Linked DNA regions of Pelodiscus sinensis. The protein of the gene in region 1 binds, or shares a complex with, the protein of each later gene. Links are inferred from orthologs where the notes say so. Each region holds a gene or a part of one and is shown in the gene's direction. Other genes may lie near its edges. The genes, in order: SYK and TYROBP.

What was found.
Region 2: the proteins of SYK (region 1) and TYROBP are in contact, whole or in part, in a crystal structure (PDB 7Q5W), measured with the Homo sapiens proteins. The link is inferred for Pelodiscus sinensis from reciprocal best matches to the Homo sapiens genes SYK and TYROBP. Residues at the interface, in NP_001167638.1 of Homo sapiens: Arg22, Arg42, Asn46, His62, His63, Tyr64, Thr65, Ile76, Ala77, Gly78, Gly79, His92, Asp97, Gly98, Leu99, Arg175, Arg195, Arg197, Lys212, Leu214, His215, Tyr216, Arg217, Ile228, Pro229, Glu230, Gly231, Lys232, His243, Lys247; in NP_003323.1 of Homo sapiens: Pro90, Tyr91, Gln92, Glu93, Leu94, Gln95, Arg98, Ser99, Asp100, Val101, Tyr102, Ser103, Asp104, Leu105, Asn106.

The regions. Positions count from the first base shown.
Region 1 is NC_134716.1:48,173,535-48,177,441, forward strand, and holds the start of SYK (tyrosine-protein kinase SYK), read left to right. Parts: upstream 1-998; 5' UTR 999-1,421; intron 1,422-3,907. UniProt on the Homo sapiens protein: Non-receptor tyrosine kinase which mediates signal transduction downstream of a variety of transmembrane receptors including classical immunoreceptors like the B-cell receptor (BCR).
Region 2 is NC_134734.1:4,220,856-4,224,762, reverse strand, and holds the start of TYROBP (TYRO protein tyrosine kinase-binding protein), read left to right. Parts: upstream 1-1,213; 5' UTR 1,214-1,648; coding exon 1,649-1,709; intron 1,710-3,907. UniProt on the Homo sapiens protein: Adapter protein which non-covalently associates with activating receptors found on the surface of a variety of immune cells to mediate signaling and cell activation following ligand binding by the receptors.

The DNA.
Region 1 (3,907 bases):
TGTACCCTGAGAGGAGATATGATAGAGGTCTATAAAATCATGACTGGTGTTGAGAAAGTAAATAAAAGTTATTTACTTGTTCCCATAATACAAGAACTAGGGATCAAGTGAAATTAATAGGTAGCAGGTTTACAAGAAACAAAAGGAAGTATTTCTTTATAGAGCACAGTTCTGTGGAACTCCTTGCCAGAGGATGTTGGGAAGACTAGGACTTTAACAGGGTTCACAAAAGCATGGAAGATAGGTCCATCAATGGCTATTAGCCAGGATGGTTAGGAATAGTGTCAGAAACTTTTTTCTGACAGGCCTCTGTCAGAAACTGAGAATGGGCATCAGGAGTTCGATCACATGGTAATTACCTGTTCCATTCATTCCCCATGGGGCACCTGCCATTGGCTACTGTTGAAAAACAGGATACTGGGCTAGATGGACCTTTGGTTTGACTCAGTATGGCTGTTCTTATGTTAGTAGTCTTCAAACATATTAAGGGCTGTTATGGAAAGGCTGGTTAACAACTATTCTCCATGTCCACTGAAGGTAAGATGAGGCAATGAGCTGGATGTGCAGAATGAGAGAGTAAGGTTGGCTATTAGGAAACACTTTCTAAATATAGGGCTAGATACCCACATCCCTAGTGTAACCATACACTAGAACAGGTTCTCTAAGGAGGAGGTGGAATCCCTCTGGGAAGTTTTAAAGAACAGGTTAGAGGAAGAGGATGTGTCAGGGAGAGGCTAGGTTTACTTGGCCCTGCCTCAGCCAAGGTAGCTGGACTTGTTAACCTCTCCAAGTCTCTTCCAGCCCAATAGATTGTTTTCAATTCTAGGAAACCCAGTGGAGGTTGCCTGTAAGGCTTTGGAGCGGACAGGCAAGCGGAAAGGGTCGCTCTAATGCAGCCAGCTTAGGGGCAAGGCGAGGCGCGGAGGCGAGCCAGGGAGGTGTGGAAGTGCAGGGAGTGTTTAGGAGGGCCGGGTTAGAAGCGGCAGCCAGGAAAGGCAGAAGAGGAGCTGGGCAGAGCCGAGCTGGCGCATCCTGGCGCGGGAAGCCCGAGGCCGCTCCGCCCGTGTCCCAGCTGTTAGGCAAATAACGCGGGCCGGGGAGCAGCTGCCCGATGAGGAAGTGTGTGAGCTGAGCCAGGCTGGGAGGAAGTAGCCGGGGCGGCCGCCGCAGAAAATGAGGAAGCGAGGCTGTCACTCCCTCTGAACGCGAGGCTGGGAGGCAGCGCCCCGGAGCGTCTCCTGCCCAGAGCCGCGACCCCCGCGGTAAATCCGCAGCGGCGGCTGCCTCCGCCCTACCCCCTCCCTTTGCGCTGCTCCGGGGCTGGGGGCGTCCCCCGGGGAACCCTCTCTGCAGAGGCGAGGACCCCCGGGTGGCTCAGCCGGGAAGGCTTCCCGCGGCGGCTCCCCGTCCGCCTCGCCTAGGTAAGCGCCGCTGCCTGCTCGGGCAGGTGAGGGAGCCGCGGGCGGGATGCGCGCTCCGGAGTCCTGCGGGCACCGCGGGGTGTGGGTGTAAGGCGGGGGGAGCTTCGCGTCTAGACTGGGCTGCGCGCGTGGGTAACACACCAGGGCAACCCTCCTGCGGGCACGCGGGGGATGCGCCGCCCCCAGCACGGACCCCTCTGCTTGCCCCCGCGGCGCGGCGCGGGGAGGGTGTTTCGCGCCCTGCCAGGCACGCTGGGTTGCATCCAGTAACAGAACACTTAATTGAGCGGCCCCACATTGCAAAATTCACACACAGGCTCACCAAGTTCGGAGGGGTTCGAATCTGCAGCTTCTCTTTGGGCCCACCTGTAAGATCACATTTAAATTGCTTTCCTGGGTAAAGTTTCCTCAATTAGGTTTCTTTGTTTCATCCCAAGCTTACTTTTCATGTATAAATTGAAGAACAAACAAACAATGTATCATTTACCTAAATAATAAGAGGTAAAACACTGACCATGCCATGGCAAATTCATGTGAATCAGCTACTGATGCTTTTAAAAATATTGAATACATTTGTAAGGAAAAAAATTAGCCCCGAAAAGCAACAGAAGAAAGCAATTCCACAAAGCAACTTAATATGTAAACAAATAAAATATATCAGTTTGTGAAGGCAAACACAAAACTCTTAAGTTATAATTGTCTTTCAAGTCAGCATGAACCAGTAAATGAGCATATCTGGATGCATGACTATGAAACTGGTTTGTTCTGTAAACAAAACAATGTTGTTCATAATTTTCATGAGATGTTATTACCGGGACACTAGGTACAGTATTTTCGTTCAGAGTTCTGAAGCCTGACAATTTTTATCAAATGTCTTTTTTTTTTCTAATAAAAAAGCTGTCACCACTATTTATTTCAATTTTACAATAGTGAAACTCCATTGACTTCAACAGAGTGAATGATATAAAAAATGAGAGTATAGCAAGTGATGTCTCAGGCCAATTTTGGGGCAAAGCCAGCATTCCTTTCTCGGGCACAAATACCTTTGATTTCAGTGGTGTTGGATCAAGCCCAGAATCAAATTTCTTAATTTGGCTTAATTTACAAGGTAGTTTTGGAAAGCATTTCCCTATTATGATTAATTTCCATAGTTCAACAAACCATTTACATTCTCATAATTTTGGTTGGTATCTGTTATTTTGGGCCTTCCCCTGCAAGCCCCCTCCCCGCGTACAAAATATTTGCTTTTTCTGTACCTTTGGAATCAAATGTTCAGTCTGATTCAAATGCATTGTCCTGGCACAGACCTGATAAGAATGTCAGGGCCATAAACAGTTAGCCTGAGAGCATTTGGAGTGGGTACTTTTACAGGAACTATGACGCTTTCCTTTCTCAGCCATTTGTTAAGCTTAAGACGGATAAAAGCAGAAATAAGGAAGCTTGAGACGGGAGTGTGTTTTTATTTTGTGACTTTCTGGGGGAAGGGAGAAAGGTTAAGAGAAGGGTTTCATAGATAAAACAACTCAAAATAAATATTTGAAACCATTTTAGGAAGATCAGAATGAGTAGTTTAATGACTAATATTTATTCTGATTTTCATATTTAGTTGGAGGAATAATTAAAATCCACAGTTGTATTTTATAAAGCTTTCAGGTTTTGTTTCTATTAAATAATAATAAAACACTGTAAAATCAAAGATATAAATTTTAGTCAGCTACATTTCTACTTCCAAGTAAGCATGATTGTATTGATGTCAATGAGAGCAGAATTTGACCTATAGAGTGGGGGGGGGGGGAGGGAGTTATTTTGGAAACAGTTAATGGATGTCTTTTTTAAAGTAGTAGGAGCCAAAAATAATATGTTAATACAATTATATGAATGTTGTTTTCAATGTTTTTAACTTTAATGACTACACAATAATGGCATTAATTAATTTGATTCCTTTCTTTTGCACTTCCTATTTAAGTGCCTGCTATTGCTTCCACTAATCATGTCAATGGTAAAACTACTGTTGAAGTTAGAGGATGCAAGTTTTAATTTTTTAAGTCAACTTACATCTTTCTCTTTCATTCCAAATACTGATATGATATACTGTATTGAGACCAATTTTCACAATGGTGTTCATGTTGTATGAGTCTGATATTATTTGACAGTGTTATTTATGTTAATTTTGATTTTGTAAGTCTACCTAATGAGTTGCTCTTCAAAACCTACTAAAGTTATTAGAAAGACTTACACTAATGCCACTGGACTTTGGATCAGGCCCTAGAGGCAAAGGAGCACAGGGAGTGACTAAGCCAAATTCTTCCTCCATTGACACGTCTTTAAATTCAGAGTAACCCTAGGGTATGTCTACACAGCAGTGTTATTTCGGAATAACTGATGTTATTTCAAAATAACAAAATGCTACATAGCAAGCCATTATTTCGAAATAATGTTGAGATGGAGGACTCCAACTCCTGTAAACCTCATTTCACAAGGAGTAA
Region 2 (3,907 bases), on another chromosome or scaffold:
GGGACGAAAATGGCAGCAACTCTGCCGGAGCAGGTATTGCGGGACGGGATGGGAGCTGGTTAAAAGTAGTCCCGCACAGAGGTCTGTCGTGCAGGTATCGCTGTGGACCTTTGTGAACACGGGCTGGGGCCTGCGGTGTGTGTTGATGGCCTGTGCTCCCCCCCCCCCCCCCCCCCCAACTTGGAGCTGAGCCGGCATCTCTTCATCTTTGCCCTTAGTTCCTAAGGGAGCACAGGCCATCAACAATTTCTTTCCAAGCCTCTCTGGGCAGGCATCTCGGGGGAGCATTTTTGCACGGAGCGGTGTGTGCATGTGTCACTGATTCACGGTGCCAGCCCCGGGAGGCCCTCGTCAGCCCCCTTCAGGGTCACGCTCACGGGGGAAAACCACCTGGTGTCACCCCTCCGGGGACGGAAGGTTGGAGTATTCCACCGCCCTGCCTCACACCGGGAGACCCCCCCAGCCAATCTGACTTGGAAGCCTCGAGGAGACGTGGGCCCCCAACGGGAGCAATTTGTCCCCCAGCCCCGCAATGCGCGTGGCTCTCGGGCGAGTCCGTGGCTGGAGCTCGAAGAAAGCCCCGAGAACAGGAAGTTACAGCCTGGCCCGGCTGGGTCGCTCTGGGCGGTGATCCCTCTCGCGGTCCCGCTCCTGTCCGGCCCCGGCCCGGATAAGGACGTTAAAATGTGTGTACTTGGCTAACCGGCTAACCCCTGGATGCTTCCACCCCACGCCCAGGGAGCCAGCTGCTGCTCTGTGTTGCTGCTGGGAGCCATGCAGGGCCGCTAGGTGCCAACTATCCGGGCCGTTGGCACGCGGCCTTGTGTGGGTGTTAGTGTGTGACGTTCAGACAGGTGTGTCGCTGCCCACACCCAGGCGGGGGAGGGGTGTTAGTGTGTGACGTTCAGACAGGTGTGTCGCTGCCCACACCCAGGCGGGGGAGGGGTGCGTATGTGCTAGCGGCTGCAGGCTTCCTCTTGACCAAACTCCATTCCCAAGGGGAGGAACTGAGATTAGGCTCCGCCTCCTGTGGGGCAGCAGAGGGGCGAGGAGAAGGGCCGTCTCACAAGGTGCAGTGAAGCTGTGGGGCCCGGTCCCTGGCAGAGGGAGGGAGCTGGGGGCAGAGCAGTGTGGGGTGCAGTGAGGGATCGGAGTGCATGAGGTTCAGTGGGGATGGGGGATGCGGTGACCAGGCAGTGGGTTGCACTGGGGGAGGCACTAAACTGTGGGGTTGGGGGTGCAGTGCCCAGCCCAGAAAGAGCAGTGATGTGTGGGGTAATGTCCGCCGTGCAGTGAGTTGGGGGTACACTGGACTGTTGTGGTGTGGGGGTGCAGTGATGGGGGGGCAGTGCCCAGCACACTGGGCTGCAGTGAGGTGTGGGGTGCAGGGCCCAACACAGAGACGTATCAGGGTACAGTATCTGGTACAGGGGAAGTGAAGTTTACCCTGGCCCGGGGGGGGGAGGGGGGGACAGACAGAGCCCTGCAGTCTCTAGCTCCCCGGCTGCCCCTCCCCTTATCCCTTCCTCTTTCTGAGGACTTCCTGTCCGCCCAGTCACTTGGCTCCGTCCCCAGCACCCAGCCCCTCCCGCGGGGACGTCAGTGCCTGGCAGACACCCTCCACCAGCCTCCGCCGAACCCCAGCACCATGGGCCCCCCAGAAGCCCCGACCCTCTGCGCCCTGCTGGGCTTGGCCTGGACGCTGCTGGGTGAGTCTGACCCCTCCAGGGAGAAGCTGTCTCCCCCCCACTGTTCCCCTAAACTGCCCCAGATCTCTCCCCTCCCCCACAGTTTCCCCAGTCTTCTCCCCACAGCCCCCAGAACTATCTCCTCCCCAACCCAGCTGCCCGTTCTCCCCCCCCCAACCTGCTAACACCCAAGTTACCCTCCAGGATCTGCCTTCCCCTTTTCTCCTCCCTTTGTCAAAAGATGTCCCCCCACCCCCACCCCCCACACACACGGGGTCCCCTGACCTGCCTGGGCTGCCACAAAGTGCTTTTTCTTTAAAAAAAGGAAAGGTGCCGGTGCTCCAGGGGGGAAGTAGTTGAGCTCTGACCAGAGGTGCCGGTGCTGGTACTGCGTACTGGGCAGTACCATCACACAAAAGGCACTCGTGGAAACCAGTATCCCCAACAGCCCCCTCCCCAGCCTCCATTGCCCCCCTCCCCCCCCCGCAGCCCAGTCCTGCCTGCCACGAATGGAATCCACCCCCGCACCACAGGCCTGGCCCAGTCTGCTCCTCCCCTGCCTCCCCCCCCCGCCACCTGCCAAGCGTCCTGTCAATCACCAGCCCCCAGCACTGCAGGGGAGAGTGGTCCATTGACAAGCATGAGATGCTGGGGAATGGGGGCAGGATCGGGGGCCCCAGCTGGCATCTGGTGTCTGGTCCACGCTGCCTGTCCCACTCCCACTCTGGGCTTTCCAAGGGAAGACTTGGAGGGAGATGGGCAAGCCCAGGGCACCGGGTTTCTCTTCCTGGCTCTGGGAGGGGAGGCCGGTGGTAAGAGCAGAGGGCTGGGGAGCCAGGTTGCAGCCGGAGTGTGTGGAGCTGGGGCAGGGAGCAACTGCTCCTGGACTCGCCCCATGCATGGCCTTGCTCACATCGCTTACCCTGCTCCCTGCCTCAGTTTCCCCCAGATGAGTGGTGCTACTGGGCCAGCACAGAGGGACCTAGTAGTGGAAGTGGGTGAGGTTGGGACCACAAGCTGTCTGGCTGCCCTGTGGCTGCTCTGTCGGGCTCCTAGTTATGGGTCACCCCTCCCCCAGTTCTATGTATCCTTCCTCCTTCTGTCTCCAGCTTTTGCGTGCTTAAAAATACCCAACCACAGGACTCGGGCTTCCGGCCTCCTCAGCCCTGGCACACCCTCATTGCATTAATGTAATGGAACCCAGCCACCCTACTCTAAACACTAGACCCCGCTCCCGTCGCAGTGCCAGGGAGGGCTCCCAGCCCCCTACTCTAACCACTAGACCCCGCTCCCGTCGCAGTGCCAGGGAGGGCTCCCAGCCCCCTACTCTAACCACTAGACCCCGCTCCCGTCGCAGTGCCAGGGAGGGCTCCCAGCCCCCTACTCTAACCACTAGACCCCGCTCCCGTCGCAGTGCCAGGGAGGGCTCCCAGCCCCCTACTCTAACCACTAGACCCCGCTCCCGTCGCAGTGCCAGGGAGGGCTCCCAGCCCCCTACTCTAACCACTAGACCCCGCTCCCGTCGCAGTGCCAGGGAGGGCTCCCAGCCCCCTACTCTAACCACTAGACCCCACTCCCCTCCTAGACCTGCTAGTGATCTCAGGGTGTTAGACGTGGACAGCCGAAGGGGGCAGGCGTTGGGACAGGGCAGGGCAGGATCATGCTGTACCCCTAGCCCTGCAGTACAGGGGCTGGCACCTAGCACAGAAACCAGAGGCATGAAACTGACCACAGGCCCTGCAGGACCTAGGGACTGGGTGGGCAGGGGGAGCTGGTTTCACTGCACAAAAACTGCAAGGGAGCTACAGTCAGGAGTGACTCCGGATCGACCCCAGCCCTGCCCCCGCTGCAGTCAGGAGTGACTCTGGATCAACCCTGGGGAGCTGGGATCAGAACCAGCCCTGCCCCCGCTGCAGTCAGGAGTGACTCTGGATCAACCCTGGGGAGCTGGGATCAGAACCAGCCCTGCCCCCGCTGCAGTCAGGCATGACTCCGGATCGACCCCGGGGAGCTGGGATCAGAACCAGCCCTGCCCCCGCTGCAGTCAGGCGTGACTTCGGATCGACCCCGGGGAGCTGGGATCGGGATCAGAACCTGCCCTGCCCCCACTGCAGTCAGGCGTGACTCTGGATCGACCCCAGGGAGCTGGGATCAGAACAGTCGGAGAGATGGGAAGTGACTGGCCCGAGTTCCCATGGCCAAGCTGCCGCCCTGTCAGT